Pelodiscus sinensis: one gene and its partners. The protein of the gene in region 1 purifies or fractionates together with the protein of each later gene. This does not show direct contact. Links are inferred from orthologs where the notes say so. Each region holds a gene or a part of one and is shown in the gene's direction. Other genes may lie near its edges.

Evidence for each region.
Region 2: the proteins of CDC5L (region 1) and BZW1 purify together in Homo sapiens (affinity purification with mass spectrometry; 3 studies listed by BioGRID and IntAct, with this or other methods). This does not show direct contact. The link is inferred for Pelodiscus sinensis from reciprocal best matches to the Homo sapiens genes CDC5L and BZW1.
Region 3: the proteins of CDC5L (region 1) and GCN1 purify together in Homo sapiens (affinity purification with mass spectrometry; 3 studies listed by BioGRID and IntAct, with this or other methods). This does not show direct contact. The link is inferred for Pelodiscus sinensis from reciprocal best matches to the Homo sapiens genes CDC5L and GCN1.
Region 4: the proteins of CDC5L (region 1) and PRPF8 fractionate together in Homo sapiens (co-fractionation; 5 studies listed by BioGRID and IntAct, with this or other methods). This does not show direct contact. The link is inferred for Pelodiscus sinensis from reciprocal best matches to the Homo sapiens genes CDC5L and PRPF8.

What each region holds. Positions count from the first base shown.
Region 1 is NC_134713.1:10,745,673-10,753,421, forward strand, and holds the start of CDC5L (cell division cycle 5-like protein), read left to right. Parts: upstream 1-4,744; 5' UTR 4,745-4,961; coding exon 4,962-5,006; intron 5,007-7,749.
Region 2 is NC_134717.1:73,488,214-73,495,714, forward strand, and holds the start of BZW1 (eIF5-mimic protein 2), read left to right. Parts: upstream 1-4,482; 5' UTR 4,483-4,635; intron 4,636-4,721; exon of another isoform or gene 4,722-4,854; intron 4,855-5,466; 5' UTR 5,467-5,478; coding exon 5,479-5,542; intron 5,543-7,468; coding exon 7,469-7,501. UniProt on the Homo sapiens protein: Translation initiation regulator which represses repeat-associated non-AUG (RAN) initiated translation probably by acting as a competitive inhibitor of eukaryotic translation initiation factor 5 (EIF5) function.
Region 3 is NC_134725.1:9,279,779-9,286,721, forward strand, and holds the start of GCN1 (stalled ribosome sensor GCN1), read left to right. Parts: upstream 1-3,928; 5' UTR 3,929-4,053; coding exon 4,054-4,071; intron 4,072-6,943. UniProt on the Homo sapiens protein: Ribosome collision sensor that plays a key role in the RNF14-RNF25 translation quality control pathway, a pathway that takes place when a ribosome has stalled during translation, and which promotes ubiquitination and degradation of translation factors on stalled ribosomes.
Region 4 is NC_134731.1:1,006,388-1,013,955, forward strand, and holds the start of PRPF8 (pre-mRNA-processing-splicing factor 8), read left to right. Parts: upstream 1-4,550; 5' UTR 4,551-4,703; intron 4,704-5,563; 5' UTR 5,564-5,574; coding exon 5,575-5,674; intron 5,675-6,461; coding exon 6,462-6,630; intron 6,631-7,568. UniProt on the Homo sapiens protein: Plays a role in pre-mRNA splicing as core component of precatalytic, catalytic and postcatalytic spliceosomal complexes, both of the predominant U2-type spliceosome and the minor U12-type spliceosome.

The sequences.
Region 1 (7,749 bases):
TTTTTTCCGGCTTTTAAAAAAGCCGGAAAAGAGCGTCTACACTGGCCCCGATCCTCCGGAAAAAGTGCCCTTTTCCGGAGGGTCTTATTCCTACTTCAAAGTAGGAATAAGACCCTCCGGAAAAGGGCACTTTTTCCGGAGGATCGGGGCCAGTGTAGACGCTCTTTTCCGGCTTTTTTAAAAGCCGGAAAAAAGCGGCGGACATTTTTATTTAAATGCCGCGGGGGATATTTAAATCCCCCGCGGATTTCCCTACGACGACTGGTGAAATTTACATGCCCCTTCCGGAAAAGGGGCCAGTGTAGACGTAGCCCTGGTATTTGGCACAGCGTCTTCTTTGGGAAATAGGGGGGGTGAGGCATGTAAAGTCACATGCTGCCTTCACAGCTTTCTGCTAATGTTCACCCCAGAATGCAGCCAGCTGCAGTTCTTAGGCGCTGTGTGGGAAGCAAGGGACAGAAGCTATTTCCACCTCGGGATGGGGGAAGGGATAATCTGGCAGCGCTCATCTCTTCCCCTGCCACTGCTCCTATGTTTAGGAGCAACTTGTCCTTTCCTGCCCATAGTGTCAAAAGCAGCTAATACTTTCAGGCTTCTGTTTGCCACCAACATAACCCAGCTGCCTCCTGCCCCCTGCCTACAGTGCAGGCAGGAAGGGGTTAAGACCTAAGACTGCTTTGAGCGCTAGGGCTCAGGAACCTGGCAGCAGAGGCTTCAGCAAAACCAGCCAGAGAGGTGGCTTTGCAAAGGAGGGCACCTAGGGAATGAAGCAGGACCCAGAAGTGGGTGAGGGCTGGGCAGCATGTAAATAGAACCTTCTGGCACCTGCCTGCATTCATCAACTACTGCAGCCAATGCCAGCTAGATGGGGGATGCGGCTCTGCTGATTGAGAACCAGCATGCAGCAAGAGCTGCACTGACAGACAAGCTGGGAGAGCAAGCTACCCCCCGCCCTCCAGCTTTGCAAACCCACCTCTATTGTTGGCCATTGGACCCCTTCCCACTGCTTTTGCGTAAGTAGCTGGCAAGCAGGGATCCAGCCAGCCCATACAGCTGGACCCACCGTAACTGATGGGAAGGAGACACGAAATACAGAACAATTTGCCCATTTTTAAGAAAAGGTCAAGACAACTGTAGGAGGGCATAAATACAGGACAGACCTTTAAAAAATGGGACATCTGGTCACTCTTTTTACTGATGGGGAAACTGAGTCAAAGAGTGATTACATGGCCTACCACTGATAACATGGGAAAGCAAGTATATCTTAAATCTGGGTGGTTTCCAAATGGCTAAAACACTTTGGCTAATTTGTAATCATGTGAACTTGCAAGTTGCAGAAATATCTTATGCTCAAAAAGAACAGTTTCTTCATTAGAGGGATAGCAAATAATTTTTACACAGGTGGATACCTCAGCCACCAATGATGCCAGTGTCCATTGTGCTATTTTTTTAACACTATGAGGTTTATCATACCCTGATGAAATTTCAGGAACAATCTGGGATAGGCCAGCCTCAATCACCCACATTTTTAATTTGTCCAAGATGAAGCCCTACTCTTCCCCAAACTACTCATCATGACTCACTACTACCCAGAACCTTGGTTTCATGTTTCAGTGGAAAGACACCACCAGAGTTCTACCTATTGTCAGACACATATGTTGTTTGAATCATGTTTGAGAAAAGAACATCCTCTTCTTCACCAAAACTTTCTTCTGCACAAGTTGGGTCTTCCTTTACTTCTTCAGTAAACACGGTAACATGTGAAAGTGTAGTCTGAGGAGAGGAGACATGGTTGCGGCAGGGGCAGTTTACACAGTTTTAAATACACCACACTCATATTAATTATTTGGCAATTATATGGCAGCACCTAGGGACCACATTAGGAACAAGATACAAGTGTGCTAGGTATTGTACATGCAGAATAAGAGTCGCCCTGCTCTAAAGAGTTTACACTGTAAATAAGCAAGACAAAGAATAATATCTAATCTTAGTAAACAATGAGATGTCAGCAATAAGGTTTTTCTTAATAGTGGGATGGAGTTATGTTGTTGAAAGCAGATTGGCTAAAAAAGGTAAAAAATTGACATTTAAGGAGGAGAAGAAATAATGGGAGCTGAGAATGAAGATGGAGTAAATGAGCAGGAATAGGGAAGCAGAAGCCAATAGACTGCCATTACAGAGGCAAGTACTGCAGTGTAAATGCTGTAAAAACCAGCAAGAAGTTGCTGACATCTACAGGTTGCTGCTGCAGCTGTTTTCCTTTGCTCTTCCTGGTTGAGTTTCTAGCTGGCTCCTGCCAGCACTTCCTTTTGTCGTAACTCACATGGTTGAGAAGTATGGGACTGCATAGGCTCTGGTGCACCAGACAGGAGGTCTCCCCTACACAGTGTTGGGTCTGGAGATGCTAGAAAAGGGAAGAAGAGCAACCTTAACTGGATTACAGTTCCTGTTTCTCTTAGTGGTACTACTGTACTTGCGTCAGCTGTTTGTTTTTCCTCTATTACTGCTGCGTAGTTGTGAAAAAATGTATAGGTGCAGCCTTCTTAGAGCTTAACCAGTGTAATACATATAGCTGTGTGTTGTGATGAAAGGACCAAGTTAGGAAAAGGTCCAAATGCTTAAAATGTAAAAATTCAAACACCTTAAATCTGGCTTCAGGTGAGCATGGATGTCACTATATCAACCAAACTTTACCATGTACCTGTATTGTAAAATTAGAGGCACAATAATACTTTGTTAAATCTATAATTACATTTAATGCAAGTTTAATTAATGCACATGAAAGAAAAATATTTCCTTTATTTTTCCAGTTTAATTGGTGTATTTGACAGCAGTTGGGTACAGATAGTCTGTTTCCTCTGTGTGGATCTTTCATACAGCAACGAGGGAGAAGAAAACATTTTTAAAGCAGTAAAAATGTGTAAAAGTCATTCTTGTCCCAAATTGACTTAAGATTGTGGTATGACCCCTGCTTTTTGTATTGGCTGTTGAATGAGCCACTGATAGTGAAGACTGCCGCAGGGTCTGGAAGAAGATCCATATTTTGAATTAATAGAGTATCATCTTCTCCCAGATGCCCTCTGAAACCTCTACAGAATGCTCCAGTTCAGATTTCTGATGTGGCTCTCTTCTATGGACATCTCAGAGGGGTCGTTGTGTTGGTCTGTAACTTTAAAAATGAGTAGTCCTGTGGCACCTTATCGATTAACAAAAATATATATAGTATCATGAGTTTTCGTAGGCAAAACTCACTCATCTGAAGAAGTGGGTTTTGTCAACTAAAGCTCGCAATACTATATATATATTTGTCAGTCTGTAAGGTGCCACAGGACTACTCATTGTCTCTATGGAAGTGCTTGTCTAAGGCTCCCTTTGTAAGGAAAAGGTGGCTTCCTTGACTACCAGCTCTGCAAACGCAATGTGGAATGGGAAACCAGCCTAGGGCAATCTCAGCAATGCACACATGCATCCCACTTCAACCCAAGGGACACTTTCTTTACAGACAGGCACTTCACTTCCACACACTGCCATACCAAAGCATAGTTCTGCCTCCACAGACAGCTCCCCACCCCAAAGCACTGCCTCACCTTCAGACAGCTCCTCACCACCCTATCCTGAGAGACGCCCACCTGCACAAACAGCTCCTAGCCCCAGGAGACACCCACCTCCACAGAGAGATGAACAGCTCCCTTCCCCCAGCCCAAGAGGTACCCACCATCACAGACAACTTCCCCCCCCCAAGAGCCACTGAACCGCAGACAGATCCGGAGATCTCACCTGCACAGGCTCCCCTCCTGAAGAGACACAATATACACAGATGATAGACAGACAGCTTTCCACCCACCCTCCCAAGAGATACCCCCCTTGCACAGACAGACAGACAGCTTCCACCCCCTCATCCTAAGGGACATCCCCCCCTTGCACAGATGGACAGAAAGCTTACCACTCCCTCATCCTAGGGGACCCCCCTGTTGCACAGATGGACAGCTTCCCACCCCCTCATCCGAAGGGCCCCCCGTCCGTTGCACAGACGGACAGACAGCTTCCCAGCCCCTCATCCTAGGGGACCCCCCCATTGCACAGATGGACAGCTTCCCACCCCCTCATCCTAAGAGACACCCCCTCGTTGCACAGAAGGACAGACAGCTTCCCACCCCCTCATCCTAAGAGACACCCCCTCGTTGCACAGACGGACAGACAGCTTCCCACCCTCATCCTAAGGGATCCGCCGCCCCTTGCACAGACGGACAGACAGCTTCCCACCCCCTCATCCTAAGGGACACCCCCCCTTGCACAGACGGACAGACAGCTTCCCACCCCCTCATCCTAAGGGACCCCCCCTTGCACAGACGGACTGCTCCCCCACCGCAGTCCCAAAAGACCACCCCTGCAAAGTCAGACAGAAGGACAACTCCCCAACCCTCCCCCCGTCCCAAGAAACACTCCCCTGGACAGCCTCACTTTGCTTTATAAACCCACACACTCCCCCTCCTGCGCCCACCGTCCCACGAGGCTCCCACGTGCGGGATCAGCCCCAGCCCCACTCCCTCCTACCCGCCTCCGCCGCGTCCCTTTTCCAGCCCCTAGTGTCGGCAGCTTGCACCAGCCGGCGGGGTTCTGTGCCCGCAGCACCTCCAGGCACCAGGTGGCGCTGTGACAATTCTCCCCCGGCCTGTGCCAGCTATTCCGTCTCCCCCTCCCTCGTCCTTCACAGGAGCTGCGCACGCGCAGCGTTTGTCATCCGCCCACTAGCGGGCGCCGCGTGCCCTCTCAACGCGCCTGCGTGCAGCTTCGAGCCACGAGCTAACGGCCCGTCGGCTCGGAGTTTTGACACATTCCCTCCGCCCTCGCCCCCACGGCGCCTGCGCAGGATCTCAACCGGCCGTAGCGCGAAGAGGGGTGTCTCTACCGCGCCTCCGCCGACTCTTTTCTTCTGGAGCCCGCTCGCCTCCGCCGCCAAGATGCCGCGGATTATGATCAAAGGGGGCGTGTGGCGAAACACCGAGGTAGGGGCCGCTTCCCGCCGCGGGCCTAGCCGCTGAGACGCCGCTCCGCAGCGAGAAGGGGCAGTGGCGCGCATGCGCTGAAATGGGGTGGATGGGGGTTGTGCGCATGCGCGGAGCGTGTTGTCGGCATAGTCTGAACTACTTTTATGCGCCTGGGGTTCTCTACCGCCCCTCCCCCCCTAGCTCAGCATTCGCGGGCCCCAGGGGGCGGGGCTCGGATCCTCATGGGCCCTGTGTGCGGGGAGCTGCCCCCTCTGCAGCGTGGGGCCCCTAGTGTGTGGCATGGGCAGGGGCTCTGATCCTCATGGGCCCTGTGTGCGGGGAGCTGCCCCCTCTGCAGCATGGGGCCCCTAGTGTGTGGCATGGGCAGGGGCTCTGATCCTCATGGGCCCTGTGTGCGGGGAGCTGCCCCCTCTGCAGCGTGGGGCCCCTAGTGTGTGGCATGGGCAGGGGCTCTGATCCTCATGGGCCCTGTGTGCGGGGAGCTGCTCCCTCTGCAGCGTGGGGCCCCTAGTGTGTGGCATGGGCAGGGGCTCTGATCCTCATGGGCCCTGTGTGCGGGGAGCTGCCCCCTCTGCAGCATGGGGCCCCTAGTGTGTGGCATGGGCAGGGGCTCTGATCCTCATGGGCCCTGTGTGCGGGGAGCTGCCCCCTCTGCAGCATGGGGCCCCTAGTGTGTGGCATGGGCAGGGGCTCTGATCCTCATGGGCCCTGTGTGCGGGGAGCTGCCCCCTCTGCAGCGTGGGGCCCCTAGTGTGTGGCATGGGCAGGGGCTCTGATCCTCATGGGCCCTGTGTGCGGGGAGCTGTCCCCTCTCTAGTCTGGGGCTCTCAGTATTTAGAGTATTTAGTATTCTGTGTGTGGAGAGCTGTTCTCACTGCAGTCTAGGGTCCCTAGTATGTAGCATGGGCAGAGAACCCAAATCCACATCAGCCTTTTGTGTGTTGGGAGCTGTCCCATATGTAGTCTGCCCTCCCTCCCCCATAGCATCAACAAGGAGCACAGATCTGTACAGGCCCTGTGTACAGGAGCTGGTTCTGCTGTAGGCTGAGGTTCACAGTGTGCAGCATAACCAGGGGTCTTAGATCCATATGAGTGCCTGTGTGCTGGTAGTGGTCCCTGTGTGCATGAATGGGCAGGGACCTGTTGGAACTGGTTCTTCTGCAGCCTGGTGTCTCCAGTGTGCAGCATAAGTAGGTGGCTCGTATCCCCACGGGTCGTGCGCGCTGGGAGTTGTTCTCGCTTGCAGGCTGCTGTTCACTGCAACGTGGACAGTTGGCCAGAGCCACATGGGTCCCTGTGTGCTGAAAAGTGTTCCTGTCTGCAGTCTGCTTTACCTGCTTCCTATGAGGGAGGGTGAGGCTAAGTATAGCTTGCACTCCTATGGTAAGAAGCATTTCTGACAAAGCAAATATTTGATCCTTTACATAACTAAAGTTTGATCATATCCTGACCTAACAAGCACAAACAATTCCCTCTATTAGGCAAGACTTGTATTCTCCTATCTTCTCAGACATCCAAAGATACTCTCTCCTCTTCATCTTTATCTTCTCAGGGGATGGTGACCTAAAGACCCATCACCTCTGAGGGCTGCTATCATCTGTGGTGACTGGTTCACAGTAAACATGTGTAGCTAAATGATGGTCATGGGAAAATTGCCAGTGATTATTTTTACATCATAGCAATGTTACTTGTGATGCTAACTTATAGCAAATGGTGTCTTATCATACTCCCCTCTCTCACTATATTATTATGCAGAGAAGACTTTTTAATTTTTTAGAAAGAGCTAAACATTCCCTTGACATATCTCAGTCCAAATTTCAGAGCTTCAAGTTAGTCACAATGCAGTCTGAAGTAGGGATGTTAAATGTCAGTTAGTTGAATAGTCGAGTAACTTATGAATTCTCATCGATTACTCGACTATTCTATAGTCCCCAGGGGCAGGGCCAGCAGCCAGTGTAATCCAGCCCCACTCCTGAGGATCACCCTGCCACTCCATGTTGCTGCCTCTGATACAGAGGCAGCAGTGCTCAGGGCCAGGCAGAAGCTGGTCTGCGAAGGGAGCCAGTTTAAAAACCACCTCCCCTCATGGACTGACTGCCTGTCACGCTATGATGCTGCTTCTTATACAGGAGTGGCAGCAGCTCCTGTCTTGGGTGAAGGGTAGGTCTGAGCTCCTGCCTGCTTACTTCCTAATACACTTTAAATGCAGAGCCACAGCGGGGATAGGTCCCAGACTCGGTGCAAGCCAGGACTGAGACAGGCTACTGGCCAGCCTCCTAAAAATTGTACTAGGTAGCAGTGGGAAATGCATGTAGTCTATAGCATTAACCTATAAACTTTTGCTTATTGCTTAATTGGTTAATTGACTACACTGTTACTGAAGATTTACGTACACTAGGTATGTAAGCCTTGTGCTATGTGTTCTGTGGTATAAGGCTTATACTGCAGAGCCCTCAGCACAGTCAGCAAGTCAACTCCCAGTGCCTGCTGGCTCCCAGCTGTTGGCCTTCTCCCGGGGAGCCGGCTGCTGCTCCAAGCTGTGGGCTCTGAAGTATCAGAGCCTGCAGCACAAGGCAGCAGCAGGCTCCCTAGGAGTGGGGCCAGCAGCTAAGAGCTGGGGCCATTGGGTGTGTAAACCACTCCCAGTGAGCACTGCCTCTTACTCCAGCTGCTAGCCCCATTCCCGGGGAGCCAGCTGTGCTGTGGGCTCTGCAGTATAAGGCTTATAAGCTTATGCTGC
Region 2 (7,501 bases), on another chromosome or scaffold:
TCCATCACTGTTGGTTTAAAGCATCCCAAATCTATTAATGGTTAAAACCCACTCTCACACACATTTGTGGACCAAGATATTATCATTAATTGCAGCTCCCTGTACTGACAGAAAGGAGACCTTTAATTTTGGATAAATTATAGACCAAAGTCTGCTTTCTGTTATATCACTGTAAACCTGGAGTAACCCAGTAATCCCATGGCCTTCAAGCTAATAACATATGGACATAAGAGAAAGCAGAATATACCCCCAAATCACAAACTATGGTTCTTTGCCACTTGCTGCATCCACTTTATGACTCACTTGTTGACATTATTATTAATTGTATCTATTACTGTAGCATTTTGGAATCCCAATCCCATTATATTAGGCATGTACCATAAAAAAAGAGACATTCCTTTCCCCAAATAGCTTCAGAGTCTAGGCCTCAGATAGGATTCAACAGAGTGGATGATACAGACACACAGCTGGGTAGATGTGGAATTAAGAAGGAAAAGACACAACTAAACAAATGGATCTCCTCATAAAAAAAGCTGTCAGCTCACCACTTGCCAAACCTGTGCCAGATAGTAGTGATTTGTAGGCAACATGATAGAAGTAGGTTTAAGGATGGATTTTAAGGGGGGATTTCTCCCATACATAGGTAAAGCTCTGGGAAAAATATGGAGGTATCTGAAGAACGAGTGGCCCAGGCTGGCACAATTGGAAGCAGCAATTAAATGGTTAATAATCACACTTGAAAGTTCAAAGCTGGAAAAGTCATTGCAAGAAAAAACACGGTATAAATTAGCCTAAGAAATAACTCTATAGGTACAATACGCTTTATTTACATTAGGTTACATTTTGCTGTCAGTTACACATGTGTAGAGTTAGAAGGACTCCATTGGTTTTAATGGAAATTATGCAGTTACACCAGTGTACCTGAGAACAAATTATAGCTTGTTACATTGCAATCATATTTAGTGCAAATATTAGAGACAAAAATATAATACTTTATTTCTTTACAAATATGTGTATAGGGCAATAAATGTATAACATGTTTGTGCCACCTACTGGTAAAATAGGCCTGTCCATTTCTCTTGTTAAACTATTACCACTTGCAACTGATGAGAAAAACACAACAAAGCAAAATTCTGAGGCTACGTCTAGACTGCAGCGCTATTTCGGGGTACCAGAGGTATCTGGAAATAGCTATTTGCGTCTTTTGAGCACAATGTTATTTCCAAATATAATGGGCTTGCTATTCCGATGTCCCTGTAAACCTCATTCCACAAGGAGTAAGGGACATTTCAGAATAGTGATTTATTTTGAAATAAATGCTATGTAGATAGCTTATTTTGAAATTTTGCGCTATTTCAAAATTGACTCAAAATAAGCTACGTAATTTGTGTAGTTCAAATTGCGTAGCTTATTTCGAGCTATGGGTGCAGTGTAGATAAACCCTTAGGCTATGTCTACACTGGCGGGTTGTTGCGCCAGAAGTATGCAAATGAGGCTAAGCGTGGAATATCGCCGAGCCTCATTTGCATACCTAATGAGCCGCCATTTTTGCAGAAGAGGCTCTTGCGCTAGAAGGAGCTGTCTACACTGCCCCTTCTTGCGCAAGAAAAACCCTCTTGCGCAATGCCGTTATTCCTGAAAATAATCAGCGTAGCGGCATTGTGCAAGAGGGTTTTTCTTGTGCAAGAAGGGGCAGTATAGACAGCTCCTTCTAGCGCAAGAGCCGCTTCTGCAAAAATGGCGGCTCATTAGATATGCAAATGAGGCTTGGCGATATTCCATGCTTAGTCTCAATTGCATAACTCTGGTGCAAGATCACACCAGTGTAGACATAGCCTTAGTGACTTGCAAATTCACAAACCCAATAGGGGTATAATGGCAGAAGTTAGCTAATAGAATAGTTTAGTTTTGTATTAGTTATTTTAGGTTAAGATGTTTGTGAACTGTAACTTACGTTTGGACTCCTCCTTTTTTTGGTAAATTTTGAACAAATGAACTAATTTAGATTTGGGTCATCAAAGAAATCATAGCCTGAAAAAAAATTTGGATTTGAACATAGTAGGAGTGAATAGAAGCAATGTGTAATGAGGTGCACTCTTAAGGGATGTGGTAGTTTGTTTTCATATTGTTTTGGTTTTGTGATTCTATAGGATTGCTAATTGGAATGATTGTATTGGTTTAAATACGTTTTCAATAAAAATAAATATAGGAAAAGAATGTCTGGCTGAGAACATTTATTTGGAACACTACATGAAGCTCTGATCAGCTGCTTTGTAGCATGAAATCATAAGACGATTAGGGTTCGAAGAGACCTCAGGAATCATCTGGTCCAAGCCCCTGCTCAAAGTAGGTCTAACCCCAATTAAATCATTCCAGCCAGGGCTTTGTCAAAATTGGCCTTAAAAACCTCTAACGATGGGGAGAGATTCCACAAGTTTCCTAAGTAACCCATTCCAGTGCTTCACTTACCACCTACCCTCCTAATGAAATAGTTTTTCCTAATATGTGTAACCCTTCTGCCAGGTAGCACCAGCAGCAGCCAGGGCCTGGTTCAATATCTAGGGGTTCCTCTCCATCCATCCAACACAGAACTGGCTTGATCCCCCACCTAGTAACCTGGGAAATTCACACAACACCCCTGGGCGCCTATAGAAGGCAATGCTTCCCCACTCACAAGCACATAGTCTGGGTGTAGTAAAGAAACCTTTAATATAAGAGGCAGGAAGTAACGTGGCATTAATTTAGGAAAACACCACAGAGTACATAAGAAGACACCACAAACAGAGTTCATAACTGTAGTAAGTTCAGGGTCAGTAACATGGAGTCAGCAGGCCTGAATAAAGGCCTACAACATGAAAACAGCAACAGACCTAGAATCTAGTGACCAAGACTTTGGTTCAGTAACACAGGAGCTAAGAAAGAGGCCCTATTGATAATTGTGTGATTGTGTAAATTAGGTCAAGCATGGAAGGATATGGGGAGGCACAGGGGATAGATTGTAATCCAGAGGGGAGTAACAGAACATCTCAATAAGAAACGTCTTGGTACCAAAGACTCCACAAAAACTAATGTATATACCGACCTAGGTTCAGGACTGGGTTGAAGTTGACAGCATGAAAGATAGTAAGTAAGCTCCCCTTCTGCAAGGTGAGGGGTGGTAACTAGACAACAGAGGGTGGCAACCTGGTATGTAAAGAAGTGATGTAAGTTGTTTGTACATATTTATAAAAGGGCATCGCAAACAGTAAGCACCGACTGACCCTGGTGGGGGGGGGGTGCTTTATGCACTTTTGTAAGCAGGGGCGTTATCAACACTTACAGAATGCACAGTGGAGTAACGTGGGGACTTTCTGCTGACAACTGTTAATGCATAAAGCACCCCCCCCCACCAGGGTCAGTCGGTGCTTACTGTTTTTTGTAACTGGAATTAACCCCCCACCCTATCACCAACCCCTTTATGATGAACCCTTTTTATGGGCCCTAGCACGTAACTGCTGACTGCCTCCCCTTCAGGAGGCTTGCACTCAAGGGTGCCAAGGACATGCAGCTACTCTGAACCCTACTGTTGGAGGAGGAGGCTCTCGATCCGCCTGTGGAGCGCAGTTCTGTGCTCCACTATACGAGCAGGGTTACAGTCTGGCTAAAGATTTGCCAATTGTCAGAAAAATAACTTCCTAGGCTGGGGGGGCTTTTTGTAACGTGGCTCTGCAATGTTGCTTTATCCTGGCAGTCCACGGAGAGCTCCTGTGTGAACGGTTCAGCGTCCAGCTAGAGGGGCTGGTGCCCCCCTGAGGGGGGGGGGGGTCGCTAGGGGCGCAGGCCTTTCGCGTTTCAAAGGTTGCGAATCGATGAGGTGGGCTCAGGCTCGAGGGCAGCTCTGGGCTCCGTTCTCCGGGGCGGGGTCAGACGAGGCGGGGCGGGGCCGGCGGTTTCCGGGCCTCAGGCTATGCGGGGGGCGCGGGGGTCCTGCGGGCTACGCGGAGGGGCGGTTCTGGGCTGGGGTCCGCAGGGCTCGGGGCCAGCGCGCTCTGTGGGGGCGGGGGAGGGAGCCGCTAACATGGCGGCGCGAGGCTGCTTGGCGCCCCACGCCCCGCAGGCGGCGCTGCCTCTCACACGCGGGGATGCAAACCGTCGCCGACCCTTTCCCGGGCCGCAGCGATTCCCCCCGCCCCCTCAATGGACTGATCCACTCCCTGAGACGGGCGGTGAGACCACGGTCCGCCAATGACGGTAAAGCAGGAGGAGGGGGGGGGATCTGGACGCGCTCACTGACTGGGAAAGGGGAGCTGGATCCGCCCGTTCGCTGCGGCCACGGACAGTGCCTGTCCCCTCGGGGCAGTGAGCGGCTGGCACGCAGCGCCGCCCTCCGCGAAGCGAACAGGGGGGAGGGGCCATGTGCTAGTGCAGGGGCGGTCAGGACATGAGGTACGCGAGGTTGGTTCCCCCTCCGGGTGAGATGGTGTCTCCCAACATGTCTCCCGGCGGGAGGTGGAGCCCGCCCCGCCCCCGCCCTCCCCCCTTCTCCGCGTTGGTTCCGCTCGCAGCAGGATTTAGCCGCCGCCTGCCTGCCGCCGTCTCCGCTCGCGCCGCTTGCACTGAGGGGCCCGTGGACGTTTTCTCTTTGCCTTAAAGTCGGTGAGGCGCGGGCCGGGCGCGGGGCCCGCCGGGGGCAGCGGGCGGGGCGGGGCGGGTTAGTGCGGGGCCTGGTGGCCCCCCCGGCCCGCCGGGTAACAAAGCCGCGGCCTGTGACGGGGGGGGGGGCGGTGAGCGCGGCCCGGCGAGACGCGGCGCCCCCAGCCCCGCTTCCGCCGGCTCCAGAGCGTCTGCAGCGGCCGCCTCTGCGAGGGAGGCCCGGTGGGTGCCGAGCCCCGCGGCGAGAGGAGGGCGCGTGGGGCCCGGGGCTGCCCCGTTCCCGCTCGGGCGGGGCGCGGCGGGAGGCTGGGTCTCGGGAGTCGCCTCACGGCTGCTGTCCCGCCCGCGCTGGGTGCCTGCGTGCGGCCTGCTGCGGGGAACCGTCTCGTGTCCGCGGGGCTGGATCTCGATACCCCCCCCCCGCTTCTCCCTGTGCTCTGCCCGATCCCCTTGTCTGACACAGGGAAACTGAGGCACCAGGGAGCGCTTGGCTCAAGGTCACGTAGCAGCTAAAAGTTCACCTGCGCCCTAAAGTTATCCTGTGGTATCTTTTTTTTTTTTTTTTTAATGAGACTAATTTGTCTTTGCCTAACAGCTAATAAATACTCCCTGGCATGAGTGAAAATGTCCTATGATCTCAGGTGCTTTAACATTGTGGATGTTCTTAACCAACAGGCAGGCTGGCGAAGTAGCAGAGCGGGCTTTTCTGTGTGGACTGTTTCCACCGGCAGATGTGTATTCGCTACTGTACACGTGCTTATGAATTAAAGCATCGCGTAGGAATCATTTGCCTCTTAATGAGATTGTCAAGAATTTTTTCTTTTTTTGGTACAGGGTGTCTTTTTTATGAATAATCAAAAGCAGCAGAAGCCAACGCTATCAGGCCAGCGTTTTAAAACTAGAAAAAGAGGTAAATATTAACTATTTTTGTTTCTAGCTCATGGCCAACTCTGTAGAAAAGCTGTTTTCCCTTATTGACTGAGTAAGCAATGAAAATTCTGTTGACTAATCTATTAGTAAAGGAACCAACCTCATTTTAACTTCCTTAGGTCACCCAATCACTTCCCAACTCTGCTCTAGTTCCATGTTCTCATTGCAGCCCCCAGCTTCCGACATTGGCTGTGGCTCCAGGGAAAGCCAGGAGTGGAGCTTCACTTGTCCTTGCACCCCTGTCACTTCCCTTTCTTTTCTCCCCATCTCTTAAGCTGTGGCCTTGCTCCCAGTCCTTGGGGCAGAGAATGCAAAAGTGTGTCCCTCAAAAGTGTGGGGACCGCATCTCTAATCTTTTAAGAACATAGCTATCATATAAGCATGGGTAAATAAAAACCTAAAAGTTAACCATGAAGTAAATTTTTTACACCAGAAAAAATATACTCTGTTGCAAGCTAAATCCTTTAAAATGTGCCTTGCACCATAAAAACAGCTTAAATTCTGATTACTCTCTGTTGAGGAAAAATAATACTTTGAGGTCGTAGGTGCAGTTGTATATCAGGGACCTTATTTTGCTCTGTCAACTTCTTGAATGTGGGGAAGGTGCTTACTTTCTCCAGAAGGCTGGCTAGCTCATGCTTTTCAGTACTCTAGTGATTTCTCATTCTGTCCATAGTGACTATGAAAGCATCTGATTTTAGATCATGAATTCACCAGATTTGTCTCAAGTACAGGGAAATTAGGAATTAAATCAGTGATTGGGTGATCTTTGTCCCATCAGAGTTCTGTTTGGCCTCCAAGACATTTTGTTTTCTATTGGTCACACATGGGGTTCCTTGATTTTGTCTGCATAAGTGACGCGCAAAAAGCCAGTGCTGATTGCATGCATGCCTTGCTGTCAGAGCTATGTGCTCCCTCTGTATCCAATCATAGTGCCATATGGTTCAATCAGTACACCTTGCAAGTTCTAGGTACTCAGCTGTAGCTAGCAAAACTTCCCTATCCTGGGAGACTGTTTTGGTTAACAATCTTGCAAGACTGGAGGGCTGCTCATGCGGTCCACTCGCTAGTCTCAGTTGCCTGTCACTGACTTAAATTGTTTGCAGTAATAATGATAAAATTCATGATTGCATCAAAGTACAGACAATATTTTTTTTTTTTCTGGCTCAAATTTAGATGTGTTATTGGATGAAACACTGGTGAAGTGGAAAAATAGGGCTTTATTTTTGCATACACAATATTTCTAACTTCATTATCTTCCAAACATTGCTTCAATTTAAGTCTGTATTCTCACCTACCGGTGACTTTGCTACCTCCGTTCGTCTTGTAGATGGCTGTTCAATAAAAGATTGCCTCTTTTCCCAGGGGGTGTGTGTGTACTATTGAGACTAATAGCTGTGTATAGATATATGTACATAGCTGTGTTGGCACAGATGCAGGTTTTTCCATAGATGTAGGAATGCAGCCTCCTCAAAAGTTAGCTGTCAGTGGAAACATGCTTCATTCTCATAACTGCATCTATACGTATGCTTAGGATGGCATAGCTATGTCAGTGAGAGGTGTGAAATGACTCGAGCTGGAAAAGCAATTGAATGAAACATTTGGGAGGACTTGATGGATTTAAAGCCCCTACCACTTTTCTTTGTAGGAATCTCCCATCTAGTTGACAAAGAATAACTGACATGTTCAGGTCAAATAGCTAATGCCAGCCTCGTGTATTTATATTAAATGAATGGCAAACTTCCTGTCTGCATTCGCTATTTCTGACTTCCCTGGTCAACTCGTAGTTTTGAAACTGTTGCCAGTTTCCTTAATGAATGAATTCATGAAATTGGAAGATGCTGATACAGAACATTGACAGTATTATCTTAAAATTAGGCTTATCAAATGCTTTCTTCTATTGCAGATGAGAAAGAGAGGTTTGACCCTACTCAGTTTC
Region 3 (6,943 bases), on another chromosome or scaffold:
CAGTGGTGATGTACTAAGGAGCTGTCTATGGTAAATAAGCAAGTACAGGTGGATCACTTTAGACACATGGGCTATGTCTACATTGGCACGATCTTGCGCAAAAGCTCTTTAGGGCAAGCGTTCTCACGTTAAAGTAGTTGTGCAAGAGTGTCTGCGTTGGCCAGGGCTCATTGTCAGAGCGATGCACTTTTGTACAAGAGAGCGTCTACATTGGCTGGACGCTCTTGCGCAAAAGCATTAGCCCAGAACCACTTTGGAGAGGGCAAAAGGGCACCAGGCCTTTCCGGGGTGGAAGTGGGGGCTGGAGCTCCTTCGAGACATGCTTAAAGGGATCTCCCTGGACAGCCGTTTCTCTCCTGCTGCGTGCTTTAGTACCTCTAGCAGGGACTGTCAGCCATAGCAGTTCTAGTAGTGGTTGCCCTCTGCCTTCTTGGACACCACAGCTTGTGCCTTCATGCCATTTGGTGATTTTTTGCTGTCAGCTCTTTTGCTGTGCCATGGAGCCAGGGGTGGCCTTGTGCCTGCTCTGGCCCCTTCCAGCCATCTTGGAGAGCCTCAGCTGCTGCTCCATGCTGCTGCACTCCAGGACCTTGAGGTGCAGGTCGCTCTGGACTCCCTCACCATGGAGGCGGAGGCGTTCCTGTGGCATCCCCACCTCACCGTGGAGAGGCCATTGTAGAGACTGGACACCAGTACTGACTGGTGGGACCGGCTGGTCCTGGGGCAATAGGATGACCAGCAATGGCTCCGGAACTTTCGGATGAGAAAGCAGACATTCCTGGAGCTATGTGCCTGGCTCACCCCTGCGCTCCAGAGAAGCACCACCCAGCTGCAGGCACCCATCCCCGTGGACAAGAGGGTCGCCATTGCCATCTGGAAGCTGGCCACCCTGGACAGCTACCGATTGGTGGCACACCAGTTCGGGGTGGACAGATCAACCATCGGTGCTGTCGTCATGCAGGTAAGTCCTTGGGGGGGGGGGGGGACGACGAAGGTGCTGCATGCCATGCCATGGGGCAGGCAAGACTCCAGACTGGGGTGATGGGGAGAGTGGGGCGATGCCCTGTCACCCAGGGGTTTGGGCCATCCCTCCCTTGCACAAGCCTGCTGGTGGGGGGAGGGGCGAAGGGGTGGCCTGTGGGGGCCCTGGTGTGTGAGAGGACAGAGGGCATCACAAGGGGGGGTGGAAACCCCCCAAGGAAGCATGCACTCAACCTGCCTTATGTGATGTGTTCCCTTGTGTTTCTGTGCACCCTTCTACATGACGTCCTGCTTCAGCGAGTCATTCGCCTGCGGGATGTAACGGTGGCCGGCTTTGCTGCCCTAGGGTTCCCCAACTGCGGGGGAGCCCTGGATGCAACCCACATCCCCCTCTGTGCCCCGGAGTATTGAGCGGCCCATTTCATCAACCGCAAGGGGCACTTCTCCATCGTGCTCCAGGCCCTCATGGACCACCATGGCTGCCTCATGGACATTTATGCGGGCTGGTCCGGCAGGGCACACGACGCCCGCATTCTACGACACTCCAGCCTGTTTTGCAGGCTGGAGGCAGGCACTTTCTTCCCGCAGCAGGAATTTACACTGTGCCAACCCCCTGCTGCCCTGGTTGATGTGGCCCTACATGGGGCAGACAGACCACAACCGGGCACAATTCAATGACCGCCTCAACCAGGTCGACTGTGCCTTTGGCCGTCTGAAGGCCCGGTTTTGTTGTTTGCTCACCAGTCTTGAGATGGTAGAGTGGAACATACCCGAAGTAGTGGCCGCGTGCTGTGTGCTCCACAACATAGTGGAGCATAGGGGGGAGGCCTTCCTCCCGGCATGGATGGCAGATGAGGGCCAGGCCTTTGAACAGCCATGCACAGGTGCCATCTGCCAGGCTCACCATGATGGGGTGCACATCCAGGAGGCCCGACGGAGATGTTCTCCCAGGCCCCACAATAGGGTCGCCTCTGTCTCCCTTTACATCTCCATCCCATCCCCAACCCTTACTTCCCCCCTTCCCCTTACCTCCCAATAAACAACACAGTTTTTTGTGGAAAACAACACATTGAACTTTTTATTTACAATGGGGACGTAGGGTGGGAGAAAGGAGGGGGCTCTGAACTGGGAGGGAGAGGAGGGAGCTACTGCTGGGAGGGGTGGCCCCTGCAACTGCCTCTGCGGTGGCAGACAACTGCATAGTGTTCAGGCCGCATCGGGGCAGGCAGCTCAGTCACCAGGCTGCATGTGGTTGCACGTGCTGCATACTGGTACACAGTGTGCAGCTCACGCTGCCTGAGTGACCCCCCCCCCCGCCCTTGTGAGTGCAAAGTGCAACACTTACCAGTGGATCCTTCCCTGGCCTCTGATGACATGCTGGAGACGTCCAGGCTGCCTGATAGCATTTCGAGCTGCAGGGCGATGGTGCTCCCCTGGTCATCCTCGTCCTCCTCCGACCCAGCGGGCAGTTCTGCCTCGTCCCCTGCCTTGCTGTGCCTGGTGACGGGGGCACCTGCTGGTGTCCACGGGCACCAAGGGTCCCTGGGGTGCCACCTCGCCCAGGATGGCAATGAGACGCTTGTAATAGGGTCAGCTCCTGCCCCTTGGTCCTCGCTGGCCTGGTGATAGCCCAGACACAGCTCCTTTACTTTGGCCCGGACCTGTTCGAAAGTCTGGGCTGGGTGGCCCTGGTGGGAGAGCACCTGGGCCATGCGGCGGAATATGTCTGCATTCCTCCAATGGGCACAGGGGTCATGGAGGGCCAGAGGTCCAACAGGCCCTTGATCTCCACAGAGGACCAGGATGGGGTGCCCCTCTTTGTGCCCCTTGGGGCCTCCTGAGCTGGGGGTGTGGGTTGCTGGTGCCTCCCTGGAGTGGCCATCCTGGGTGGTGCTGGTGGCTGAAGGAGCAGAGCCGCGTAGGAGAGCTCGGTGGCAGAGGTGTGTCTGCCACGTGGCCTCTGCAGGCTGCATGTGCCTTTAAGGGGGCTCAGGTTACCAGGAAGTCCAGAGTGGTGACTGCACGTACAGAGCGTCCAAGCAGCCACCAGAGCTTTTTTCTGTTTGGCTGGCTCTTGCGCAAAATCTCTTGGCTGCCTGTCTACACTGGCCTCTTGCGCAAGAACAGTTGCACAAAAGGGCTTATTCCTGAGCGGGAGCGTCAGAGTTCTGGCGCAAGAAGCCTTGGTTTTATACGTCAGAACGTCAGTTTACTTGTTCAAGAACGCGCGGCCAGTGTAGACAGGCAGCAAGTTTTTGCGCAAGAGCGGCCGCTTTTGCGCGGGAGATGGCGCCAGTGCAGACACAGCCAAGGTCTTTGAGGTTTACTGGGCTGCCTATTGCAGCTTTGGAACTGACTTCAGGGGAACAATAGTGGCATGGTTCAGTGGGGTCCCCTCATTTACTACTTGATTGCACTGGTAAGTCCATTTGTGCAGCAGAATTTAGCAATTCAAGTTTTTGTTTCAAACTGAAGCTGGGGTGCCCTGTGGTTTATGAAACATGGGTGGAGATTCCGACTGCGAGGGTGGACCAGCTGGGCGTTCATTGTGCCAGACAGGGGACAAAATGTTAGGCCCAACCAGCTGCTTTCCAGGGCTTTTCACTCCCTTCTGTTTCCACGAGAAGCCGGGTGATCACTTCTGAGAAAATGTCCCGCGCAGGCTCCGGACACGGGGCTTGACAGCAGGTTTAAAACAACGGCTCCGTAGGGGCCCAGCGGCTCCGCCGGAAGCGCCTCCTCCACGCTGGCTGGGCCCAGGCTGCTCATTACCCGGTTTCTAGTCCAGAAAATTGCCCCCCCCCCATGTGCGACGCGGCCCCCTCGGCGAGACGGGCGGGCCCCGCGGGGGGTCGGACAGGCCGGGCCGGGCGTGTGTCGGCGCCGCGGGCCCGGGCCTGGGGCGCGGTCCGTGCCTCAGTTTCCCGGGGAGGCGGGAGGGAGCGGGGCTGGCTCAGGGCCAGGCCTCGAGCTCGGGCATCTCCTTGGTAACGAGCGCCACCTGCGGGCCGGAGCGCGGGTGGGGTGACCCGGAAGTGAACCCGCGAGCACTTCCGCGGCCAGACCGGCGCGATGGCGGCCGACACGCAGGTGGGTGCGCGGGGGGCGGGGGCTGGGCCCCGCCGCGCGGTGGAGGCGGCCCCGGGAGAGCGGCTCCTGCCGCCCGTCCGCCGCGCGCGGTTCCCGCTCACTGGGCCGGGCCGGCTCCCGGGGAGGGGACGTGGCAGTTGTGTCAGCGCCCCCGAGCCGCCCGGGGCTTTTCTCCAGCCCCAGGCCGCCCGCGCCGGGCCCTCGCCTGCCCCAAGGCAGCCTCGTGTCATGGGGGGGCGGCCCCGCGGCCGGAGCCCGGCCTGCCCGAGCCTCACAGCCGGGCCTCTCCGCGCTGGGCCAGGCGCAGGGGACGCAGTTCGGGGCCGGCCCAGCGTGTGACACCCGTGCGAGAAAGGGGCCCGATGAAATCGACGGGTTTTGTTCAGTATTCGGGCCACAAAATGGCAAATGAAGTTTAATGTTGGTGAATGTAAAAGTAACGCGCATTGGAAGAAATAACCCCAACTATTTGTACAATAGGGTGGGGACTGATTGAGCTACAAATACTGGAGGGAGCGATCTTGGTGTCATTGTGGATAGTTTCTCTGAAAACATCCACTCAGTGTGCAGCGACAGTCAAAACAAACAAACAAAAAAAAGCAAACAGGATGTTAGGAATCCTTTAAAAAAGAGAGAGAATAAAACTGGGAATATTTGATTGGCTCTATATAAAACCGTGGAATGCCCACATCTTGCCTATTGTGTACAAATGTGATTGCCTCATCTCAAAAAAGTTATATTGCCATTGGAAAAGGTTCAGAAAGGGGCAACAAAAATGATGAGGGTGTTTTGAACCGGTCCCATATTTAGGGAGTTTAAAAAGACTTGGACTTTTCAGTTTAGAAAAGAGGAGACTAAGTGGGGATGTGATAGACTCTATAAAATCATGACTGGTGTGGAAAAAGTGAATAAGGAAAAGTTATTTCCTTATTCCTACAATATAAGAACTAGGGGTCACCAATTGAAGTTAATAGGCAGCAGGTTTTAAACAAACAAAAGGAAGATTTCCTTCATTCAGTGCACAGTCAACCCGTGGACCTGCCAGAGGATGTGAAGACTGGGAAGTTAGCAGGGTTCAAAAAAGAGCTAGATAGATTCATGGAGGTTAGATCCATCAATGCCTATTAGCCAGGATGGGTAGAAATGATGTCCCTAAGCCTCTGTTTGTCTGGAAATAGATAACAGGAGAGGGATCATATGTGATTACGTGTTGTATTTCCTCCCTCTGGGGAATCTGGTGTTGGCCACCGTCAGCAGATAGGTGGACCTTTGGTCTGACCTAGTATGGCCGTTCTTATGTTATGTAAACTGTTACGTAAACTGAACTGGTTCTTCTAAGTAGTCTTGGCCATCATCCCAGCCACTTGAGAGCTTACATACATTTTATGATTTTAGTATCATTATTGTATATTTTAAACAATTTTTTGTTGTTGCCATATAAAGCTTTCACACAAATTGTAGACAAAATTCACTGCTTCTGTAAGGGAATCAGTGAGACTGGCTATATGGAAGACCCATTAAACATAATGTGAAAAAATATCGCTATATATTTTTCTTTAGTCCTTCTGTTACTCTAATCTTAATTGCTCATTGGCAGGGTTCACCAAGTGGCGGCGAGCCCCACTCGCCAGCCGTGCGGTTCTGCGCATGCGCAGATCGCTGTGCGCCGGCTCTTCTGGGTTGTAATCTACTTGCCATGGGTGAGTGGGTAGAGCTAGTGTGCTGGCTCCTCATAAGTGCTGGCTCCTGTGGAGCCACCTACCTCTGTGCTGTTATCTCTGATATAGAGGTAGCAGCATGGGGTGGAGGAGTTGGCTTGTTGAGAAGCCAGCTTTCAAGCTCACTTACTGGCTCCCTCTGAGCCATACTGTTCCCTTTCTCTGGGTTGCGGCCTCTGAATCAGAGGCATCAGCCTGGGGGAGGGCAGAAGGCAGGATCCTTAAGTCTACTCCCCATGCATTCTGGCTACTGGTGAGCTGACTGCCCTCCCACCTCTGACGCAGAGGCAGCATAGGTGTGTGTGTGAGAACAGGAGCCAGTGCTTGCGGGGAGCCGGTTTTAAAGTCAGATACCCATGAGCACTGCCTCCCCCCCCAGCATGTAATTTCAGCAGATACACATTTGCACAAACAAATTTTAACATACCTAACTAGAACAGCCTAGAACAAATTTTTTTATACATGTTTTACAAAACTTATTAAAGTTTTAATTCTTTTAAAAATTAAGGAATTGTTAATACTGAGAATGGAATTTAAACATCCTTCTTCAGCTAGGTTAGATGTAAAGAGCATAAAAGGTGAAACAAAAAATTAACAATCAAATCTCCACTTGTGTGATAACATAGGAAAGAGTTTTTATAAATAGGATGTGACTTTTTAAACCTGATAGATGTTTCAGTTAAAAAAGAAACTAACCTCCTCAAACTCCATGAACACGTGACTGGTTCCTGTTAAGGTACAAAGAGAAACCTTTCATTTGTTAGCCCTCTTATACAATTTCATAACAACCAGAGATGTGAAAGTTTAATCAGTGGGGGGCTAGAGCAGCTCCCTGCCCACCACAGGCCGAGGGCTGCTCCAGCCCAGTGGGGGCCCAGGCTAGAGCAGGCCCAGGCTGGAGCAGCCCCTGCCTGTTGTGGAGGACCTGCTCTAGCCTGGCTGTGGTGGGTTGGGGGAATGCTCCAGCACCGTTGTGCTGGAGTGGCCACCCACCCATCCCGTTTAATTGGTTAACCACTTAAACAGGATTTTACATCCCTAATAACTGAGGCTCTGAAATCATAAGTGAAATACTCAAGATATGGATTAAAGTATGTAGCATAGACCAATGTTTCTCAACCTTTTTTTGTAAAGTACCCTTTACAAAACAATAG
Region 4 (7,568 bases), on another chromosome or scaffold:
TGAGCCTCAGGGCTGGGTTTCCTCTCTGGTTTGTTCCCACAATGAGCTCATCAGTGCAAACCAATGAGAAGGGGGTAGCTGCAGTTGGGGGGTGTCTAAGTGTCTCTATGGGCCCTGACTTCCCTTACATAGGCCAGGGCTACTCATGCAGCCTGTGAACCGCATGTGGCCTGTTTGTTTGCGGCCCGTGGTGCAGTCTGGGTTTACGTGGGGCTCTCACAGCCCGCAGGTGGGAGCCAAAACAAAAAAGTCGTCAATATAACGGTCTTCTGTTGAGATGCGTTTTAGTAGTTACATTCCTAGACTGTCATTGCTCATTCCAAGTGCTGTTGTAAGGGCGGAAATGGGGGAATGTTGCATTTTATTAATATCAGCAGAACTGACTGAAATGGGGCCTGCGTGTTGTGTAGTGTTGCCTTCATCTTTGTGTTCATGCCTGTCAGTGCGAAAGAAGCTGTCTGCATATATCTGCAACCACACGTGAGCTGCATATGCATGCACAGCACATTTCATTGGGATGTGCACCCAGAGAATTTTTTTTAAATGTACTTTGATCCCCATTAGCCACGCCCCTGACCCCTATTGGCCACACCTCCGGAGGTGACACATGACCAGAAGTAAAAGGTGTCATGTGACCCCCCCAAGGACTTTTTCCACCATCCTCCTACCAACAGGAATTAATTTGGCCCCCACCAAGCTCCCCTTATGCAACCAGCGGCGGATTTAGGGCAGGGCGAGCGGGGCGGCTGCCCTGAGCCCCGCACTTCCCGAGGCCCCGCGCATGCACCTTGGCACCACGGCGCATGCGCTGTGTCAAAGGGGGGGGCCGTGAAATTTTGCTGCCCGGGGCCCTGCGGCACTGCCCTGGGCCCCGCGGCACTGCCCTGGGCCCCACAGCACTCTCATCCACCCCTGTATGCAACTATCCTGCAATTGCATTACCCCAATGTGTGTGACATTAATTCGGGAGCAGAGAGGCTGGGGGAAGTGTCCCTCTAAAAGTTTCCTCCCATGAGCAGAATGAATTTTGTGTTGTGCACCAGTACTGAGTTCATGTGGCTTGTTTCAATGTGCCACCCAAGTTATTAATAAATATCTTATAACCCTTTACCTTTTCCCTCTGCTGCCGTGGCTCCCCTTGCTCCATCAGCTCCCCTGGTGCCTGCTGCTCCCTCTGCTGTCCTGACTCCTGCCCTTCTCACTGCCCTCAGCCTTCCTGCAACCTGCCCCCCTCCACCAGTCCTTCTCTCCCCCCTGTGCCCACTCCTCCAGTAGCCCCACTCTACTCATGTGAGCTACCTAGGGTTGCCAGATGGCTGAAAAAAAAATACTGAACCCCCCCCCCCAAAAAAAAAGACGGGGAAAAATTTTGTTGAAGGAAAAAAAAGGGGGGACACCAAAGTTGTTGAGTGGAAAAAAAAATAGACTCCAAGGACCTGGATCACTGCTAGGGGTTACCAGGTACTCATTTAAAAAAAACCCAAAAATCCGGATATGCTTCGGGGGGGGGGGGTGAGGGGGAGGAGGACTGGCTAGGAAGGGAGTGGTGCTGGCCGGGGAGGGGAGGAGATGGGGGGGCCTGGAAACAGCTAATGGTGGGGCAACAGGGCTGGCCGGAGGAGATGGGGGGGCCAACAGGAAGCAGGGCTGGTTGTGGGGAGGGGGGCCGGGTGGAACGGGGCTGGACGCAGAATATCAGGGGAGGGGGGACCGGCTGGGAGGGGGCAGGGATGGCTGCAAGTAAGGGGGGGCGGGAAGCACAGCTGGGGGGATCAGGGGCCGTGAGGGTGGCTGGGAGAAAGGGGGGCAGGAAGCAGAGCTGGCGGGGGGGCAGTGCAGCGGCCCTGGCTGGGGGAGATCAGGAAGAGGAACGGGACGGCGGGAAGCAGAGCTGGGGAGGGTGCAGGGGGGCTGGTCGGGGAAGATCAGGAGGGGAAGTGAGGGAGAAACAGCCAGCTGAGAAGGGGGGGGTGAGCAAATTGGTCGGCGGGGAGCAGGACTGACCTGGGCACTTGCTGCCTGTCCCGCGCAGGCTCCTGGCGACTCACGAGTGAGGAGGAGGCTCCCCCTCCTCCTCACACTCAACCGACTGAGGGCTCCTGGTGGCAATCGCGGCCCCGCCTCCCAGCCGCTCTCCCCCGCACACGCCAGGCTTCTGTCCGGTGCGCAGCCGGAAAAATCAGAAAATACCGCACGTTGCACGTGTCTGGTATTTTCTCATTTTTTTTACTGGACAGAGCGTGCAAATACCGGACTGTCTGGTACAATACCGGACACCTGGTAACCCTAGAGCTACCCGTCCTCATCACCTCTCCTAACACCTCCCTCTACACCTGCCCTGCCTCTCTCCTCTGGTGCTGGTCCCTCCCCTGCAGGTGTCTGCCCTTCTGCTTCACCCCAGAATCCCCTGGCACCTGCACCTTCCCTTAGCCCTGCACCCTCCTGGTGCCTCCCCTTCCCTTACTGCCCCTGCCCCCTTTGCCCCTAATACTCAACCCCTCACCACCCTCTGCCCCCATTCTCCTCATGCCCCTGTGCCCTCACACGTCTTGCTCTATCCCTGCCTCATACCCACCCCTTCTTTCATGCCTTTTCCCAGCACCTCCCCCTCCTCCCTCTAACCCCCAAAGCCCTTACCCTCTCCTCTCCCAGCATCACCCTGTCTCCTTTCCCACTAACACCTCCCCTCCTGCCCTTTTCCTCATTGTCTGCACTTGGCCCCCTGGCATTTGTCTCTCCTCTACCCTGTCCCTTGGTGCCTTCCCCTTTCTTCTCTTGACCTGCCCCCCTCCTCTCAGCACAAGCCCCTTCCTCTCTCACCTCTGCCCCCTAATTTTCCCCCTTCCCCTCCTCTCCCTTATCTTACCTTACCTTTGGCTAAGCTGGCTTCTGTCTTCCAGTTTGTGGGGCTGGAGTCAGAGCCGGCCCCAGCTACAGGCCAGCCAGGCCCTAGCCCTGGGTGCCTCACTTTAAGGGGCGCCATGCAGTGCTGCCTGGCTGGGTGGGGCCGTGTCTGGGACCCGGGGCGCAGGAGGGGTGCTGCACAGTGCTGCCGGGCTGGCCGAGGACGGGGCTGGAAGGACAGGGGTGGTCTGTAGTCCTCTGCGCACATGCTCTCTCTGCCCTAAAGTGCCCCATAGATGGCCGCAGGGAAAGTTAGGGGCTGCGGCTCCCCAGCTCAAGTCCCCCTCCTCCTTCAGCAGCTGCTAGCTGGCCCAAGACATTAGGGTGTGCCTGGGCACAGCTGGTACACCCCGTGCGCATGCCTATGGTGCTATGAGTATCATTATGGCCCACAGGGCTTCCAAAGGTGAGTAACCCTGACATAGGAAATGATGGGGTCTAAATTAGCTGCTGCTACCACTCAAAAAAAAGATCTTGGCATCCTGGTGGCCAATTCTCTGAGAGCAGGTGCTCAGGCCCAGTGACAGTCAAAGCTGAGAAGGTGATTGTGACGTAGTGGGGGTGCTGTCTGCTCTACAACCCAGTGTGGTACGGGGGGGGGGGGGGCCTTGCTGGTTGCTGGGCTTGGGCAGTGGGTGACCTCCACTGGCGGCTATTTGTAGCACGGCCCAACAGGACAGCGGATGAGTCACTAGGCAAGGGTCTCCCAACCTGTCCGACAGGTCCCCTCCCAGGGAGAGAGACAAAGGGAGGAAGGCGGAGACCTACCCCTGTCTGGGGGGCAAGGCTGGAAGAGGGTCAGTTTCTGTCTGGCATGATGGAGGAAGCAGCCTAAGCAAGGGCCTGGGAATTAGGGGCCCAGTCACCCCCATCTCAAGGGGGCTGAGGCATCCTAGGCCTGCCCTGTAACCTGATTCCATCTGTGCTGTGCTGCATCCTTGGAGAAGCGATAAACTCCCCCTGTTCTACTGGCTGGCGGAGTCTGTCCGTGCCCCTACGGGGTGCAGGAGTCGGGTGAACCTGTGCATGTGCGATGAACCCTTAAGAAAGGCACCGCCCACCCGACCCGACCCCGCAGAGCTTCTGAATGCGCCGCTGGCCCTGGCATGCCCAGGCCTTGGCTCTCGGGTGCGGCCCGGCCGTCCCGCTCAGAGCAGCAGGTCAGTGCCACGTGCGAAGGGCGGCAGGCGAGGACAAAGCAGAGCGCAGCCGCGGGAGGCCAGGCCCGACGGGCACGGGGGCTGCGGTGGGGCCCGGCCGGCCAGGCAGCAGCTGGTGCAGTAAATGGGCCGTTGGGCGGCTGCCGGGGGCGGGCAGATGGCGCCTGGGCTGAGCGGCTCCGGCTGCGCCCGCCCCTGCCCAGGGATGGCGGCAGCGGCCCGGCTCTGGTGCCTGCTGGGAGCCTCCACCAGCCCAGGGCAGGGCCCGCAGCCCACTGGCGCCATCGTTAGGGTCCAGGGGCAACAGCGGCCAGCCACGCATGGGGGCGTGGCCTGCAGGGGGCGTGGCTCCACACGAGCTGTGGGAGGGTCTCCGACCGGAAGAAAACCCGCGCGCCTGACCTAGCAAGCCCCGCCCTTTCCGCTGGCCGGACCCGCCTCCTAGCCGGTCGCGGATGCTCATAGGCTGGAGAGCCCACCTGTCACCAGCCCGAGAGCTGAATGGTCAGAGCGCCCACTGGCCCCGCCCCCTCAGCCCATCCGGGTCCTTGGAGCGCTGCAGCGACGCTCGGGGGCCGCCATTGCGGGTGGGAAGCGGGAGGCCGCGGGGCGAGGCACGAGGGGCCTGAGCGGAGACAGGTGCGGGGGGAGGGGGCGGGGTGTGGGGAGCGGGGTGTGCGGGGGGGTCGGGGTGTAGGGAGCGGGGTGTGCGGGGGGGTCGGAAGGAGGGGGCGGGGCGTGCGGGGGGGGCGGGAGGAGGGGGCGGGGGGGTCAGGGTGTAGGGAGCGGGGTGTGCGGGGGGGTCGGGAGGAGGGGGCGGGGGGGTCAGGGTGTAGGGAGCGGGGTGTGCGGGGGGGGTCGGGGTGTAGAGAGCGGGGTGTGCGGGGGGGTCGGGAGGAGGGGCGGGGGGTCGGGGTGTAGGGAGCGGGGTGTGCGAGGGGGTCGGGAGGAGGGGGCGGGGGGGTCAGGGTGTAGGGAGCGGGGTGTGCGAGGGGGTCGGGAGGAGGGGGCGGGGGGGTCAGGGTGTAGGGAGCGGGGTGTGCGGGGGGGTCGGGGTGTAGAGAGCGGGGTGTGCGGGGGGGTCGGGAGGAGGGGCGGGGGGGTCGGGGTGTAGGGAGCGGGGTGTGCGGGGGGGTCGGGAGGAGGGGCGGGGGGGTCGGGGTGTAGGGAGCGGGGTGTGCGGGGGGGCGGGGTGTAGGGAGCGGGGTGTGCGGGGGGGTCGGGAGGAGGGGGCGGGGTGTGCGGGGGGGTCGGGAGGAGGGGGCGGGGGGCGGGGTGTAGGGAGCGGGGTGTGCGGGGGGGTCGGGAGGAGGGGCGGGGGGGTCGGGGTGTAGGGAGCGGGGTGTGCGGGGGGGTCGGGAGGAGGGGGCGGGGTGTGTGGGGGTCGCTGGTGGCGGCGGGGGGCGGGAGAAGAGGGCTGTGACGTTGGGTGTGTTTCCGCTCTGTGGCGGGCATTGACTAACCTGAGCCTGCTCTTCCTTCCTCCCCTTGGTTCTTAGCCTGCCTCTCCATGGCTGGAGTGTTTCCCTACCGCGGGGGCTGTGCCCCAGTGCCCAGTCCCTTGGCTCCACTGCCCGACTACATGTCTGAAGAGAAGCTGCAGGAGAAAGGTGCAAGAGCTTATTGAAATGTGTCCCAGACAGGGTTTGTGGGTTATGCACTCCTGGAAGCGGTGACAGAGAGGTCCCAGGTCCATGCAACAGCTAGGCAAAGGCCAGGCAGGCTCTGTGCCCCACAGTGAATTCTGTGTCCTTTGGTTGTGTTATGTCAGACATCGTATTCTGCTCACTAAGCTGTTCAGTTCATTTGATTTATGGTGCATGAGCATTTGCCCTACTTTGTTTTGCTGGGTTTTTCTCACTATTCTGTTGCAACCTGTGAGACTGCCCTAAGCAGACTGCTGTCAGTTGCATGTATTTTAGCAGTAAAACTCTGTTCAGAGTAAACAACATAGCAATTATAATCACAGCTGTTAGTCTATGATTCTTGCAACTCTTTGCTCTTGCCAGTGCGATACGCCAGGCATCATTGGGAGAATCGGAGGAGAATGTGAATGCAAAGGTGGTGGTTGCACAGGAATAGAGAACTGCCTGACTGGATAACAGCAGGGGTCCTTCTGGGCCAGTGTCCTGTCTCCAGCACTACATAACTCAGAGCACGGTGCAAGAGGCCAACTGTAGGCAGGTGTGAGAGTGCCTTTTCCTGCTCCCTGGTGGGGTTAGAGATGGTATAAACTCTGATGCATAAAGATTTGTACCCTGTTCAAAATACTTTTTGCATTACTAGTAGAGCTCTGTACATTCACTATCCATGTAATTTTGGGCTCATGTTGATTTGGAGTCTCTTTTATGATGGTGCTCTGGTTGGACTGGACTGTGTGTGTTCTTGTTTGTGTAGCCCGCAAATGGCAGCAGCTGCAGGCAAAGCGGTATGCTGAGAAGAGGAAGTTTGGTTTTGTGGATGCCCAGAAGGAGGACATGCCCCCAGAACATGTGAGGAAGATTATCCGGGACCATGGTGACATGACTAACAGGAAGTTTCGTCATGACAAACGAGTTTATTTGGGGTAAGGAGAGCAATGAGCATTCTAATCCATGTCCAGGGCAAGGAGGGCTCTGGGTAGGGCATATATGGTTACAGGTATTCCATTCCTGGACGATGGAATTGTAAGCAGCACGCTGCACTACACCAATGCCACAGATATGCACTGGCCTGTAGAGATCACCGAGAGATCCAAAACCTCCCCTAGAGAGATTTCAGTTACTTTAAACTCTGTGCATAGAAGAAAATTCTATACTGTGAGCTCTTGTAAAATGCTATGGAGATGGACTGTGAGATGGACTGTGAGCAGTGGAACAGAAATAAGTAGGGTGGAATGGAGCCGAGGTTGTGCTTGAATTATCAGGTAAAGGCTATTGTGCAGAAGCATCGATCTTTTTTTTTCTTTTAAATAAAAGGCTTGAAGGAGTTCAGAAGAGATGCCTGTTGCACAGTGATTGGGTGATCCAAATGCAAGAGAAGCATTTATTTGCATTTCAAAATCAAGTTCATTGCTCATTCCTGGCCATATGCAGAGTCCCTAGAAATTCACAAGATGAATTTCTGTGGATGTGGGGGGGCGGCGGGCAGGTGGGAGGCAGAAGCAGGGTTGGGGGCGCGGGGCTGTCCCGTGGAGATCTGGGTATGTGGGCGGGCGGTGGGCGGAAGCAGGGTTGGGGGAGTGGGGCTGTCCCGCAGAGATTGGGGGGGCGGCGGGCAGGTGGGAGGCAGAAGCAGGGTTGGGGGTAGCGGGGCTGTCCGCCGGCGGCTATCGGAGAGGGCAGGCGGCGGAACCAGGACTGCATGGGAGGAGGGAGAGCTGCCCGGGGGAGATCAGGAGGAGGAGGATGGGAGAATCAGGTGCCAGAAGCAGGGCTGGACGGGGGCAGCAGGACTGGTGGGGGAGGGTCGTCGGGGGAGCGGGGCTGACCGGTGGAGATTGGTCAGTGGCTGGGGGAACCAGCC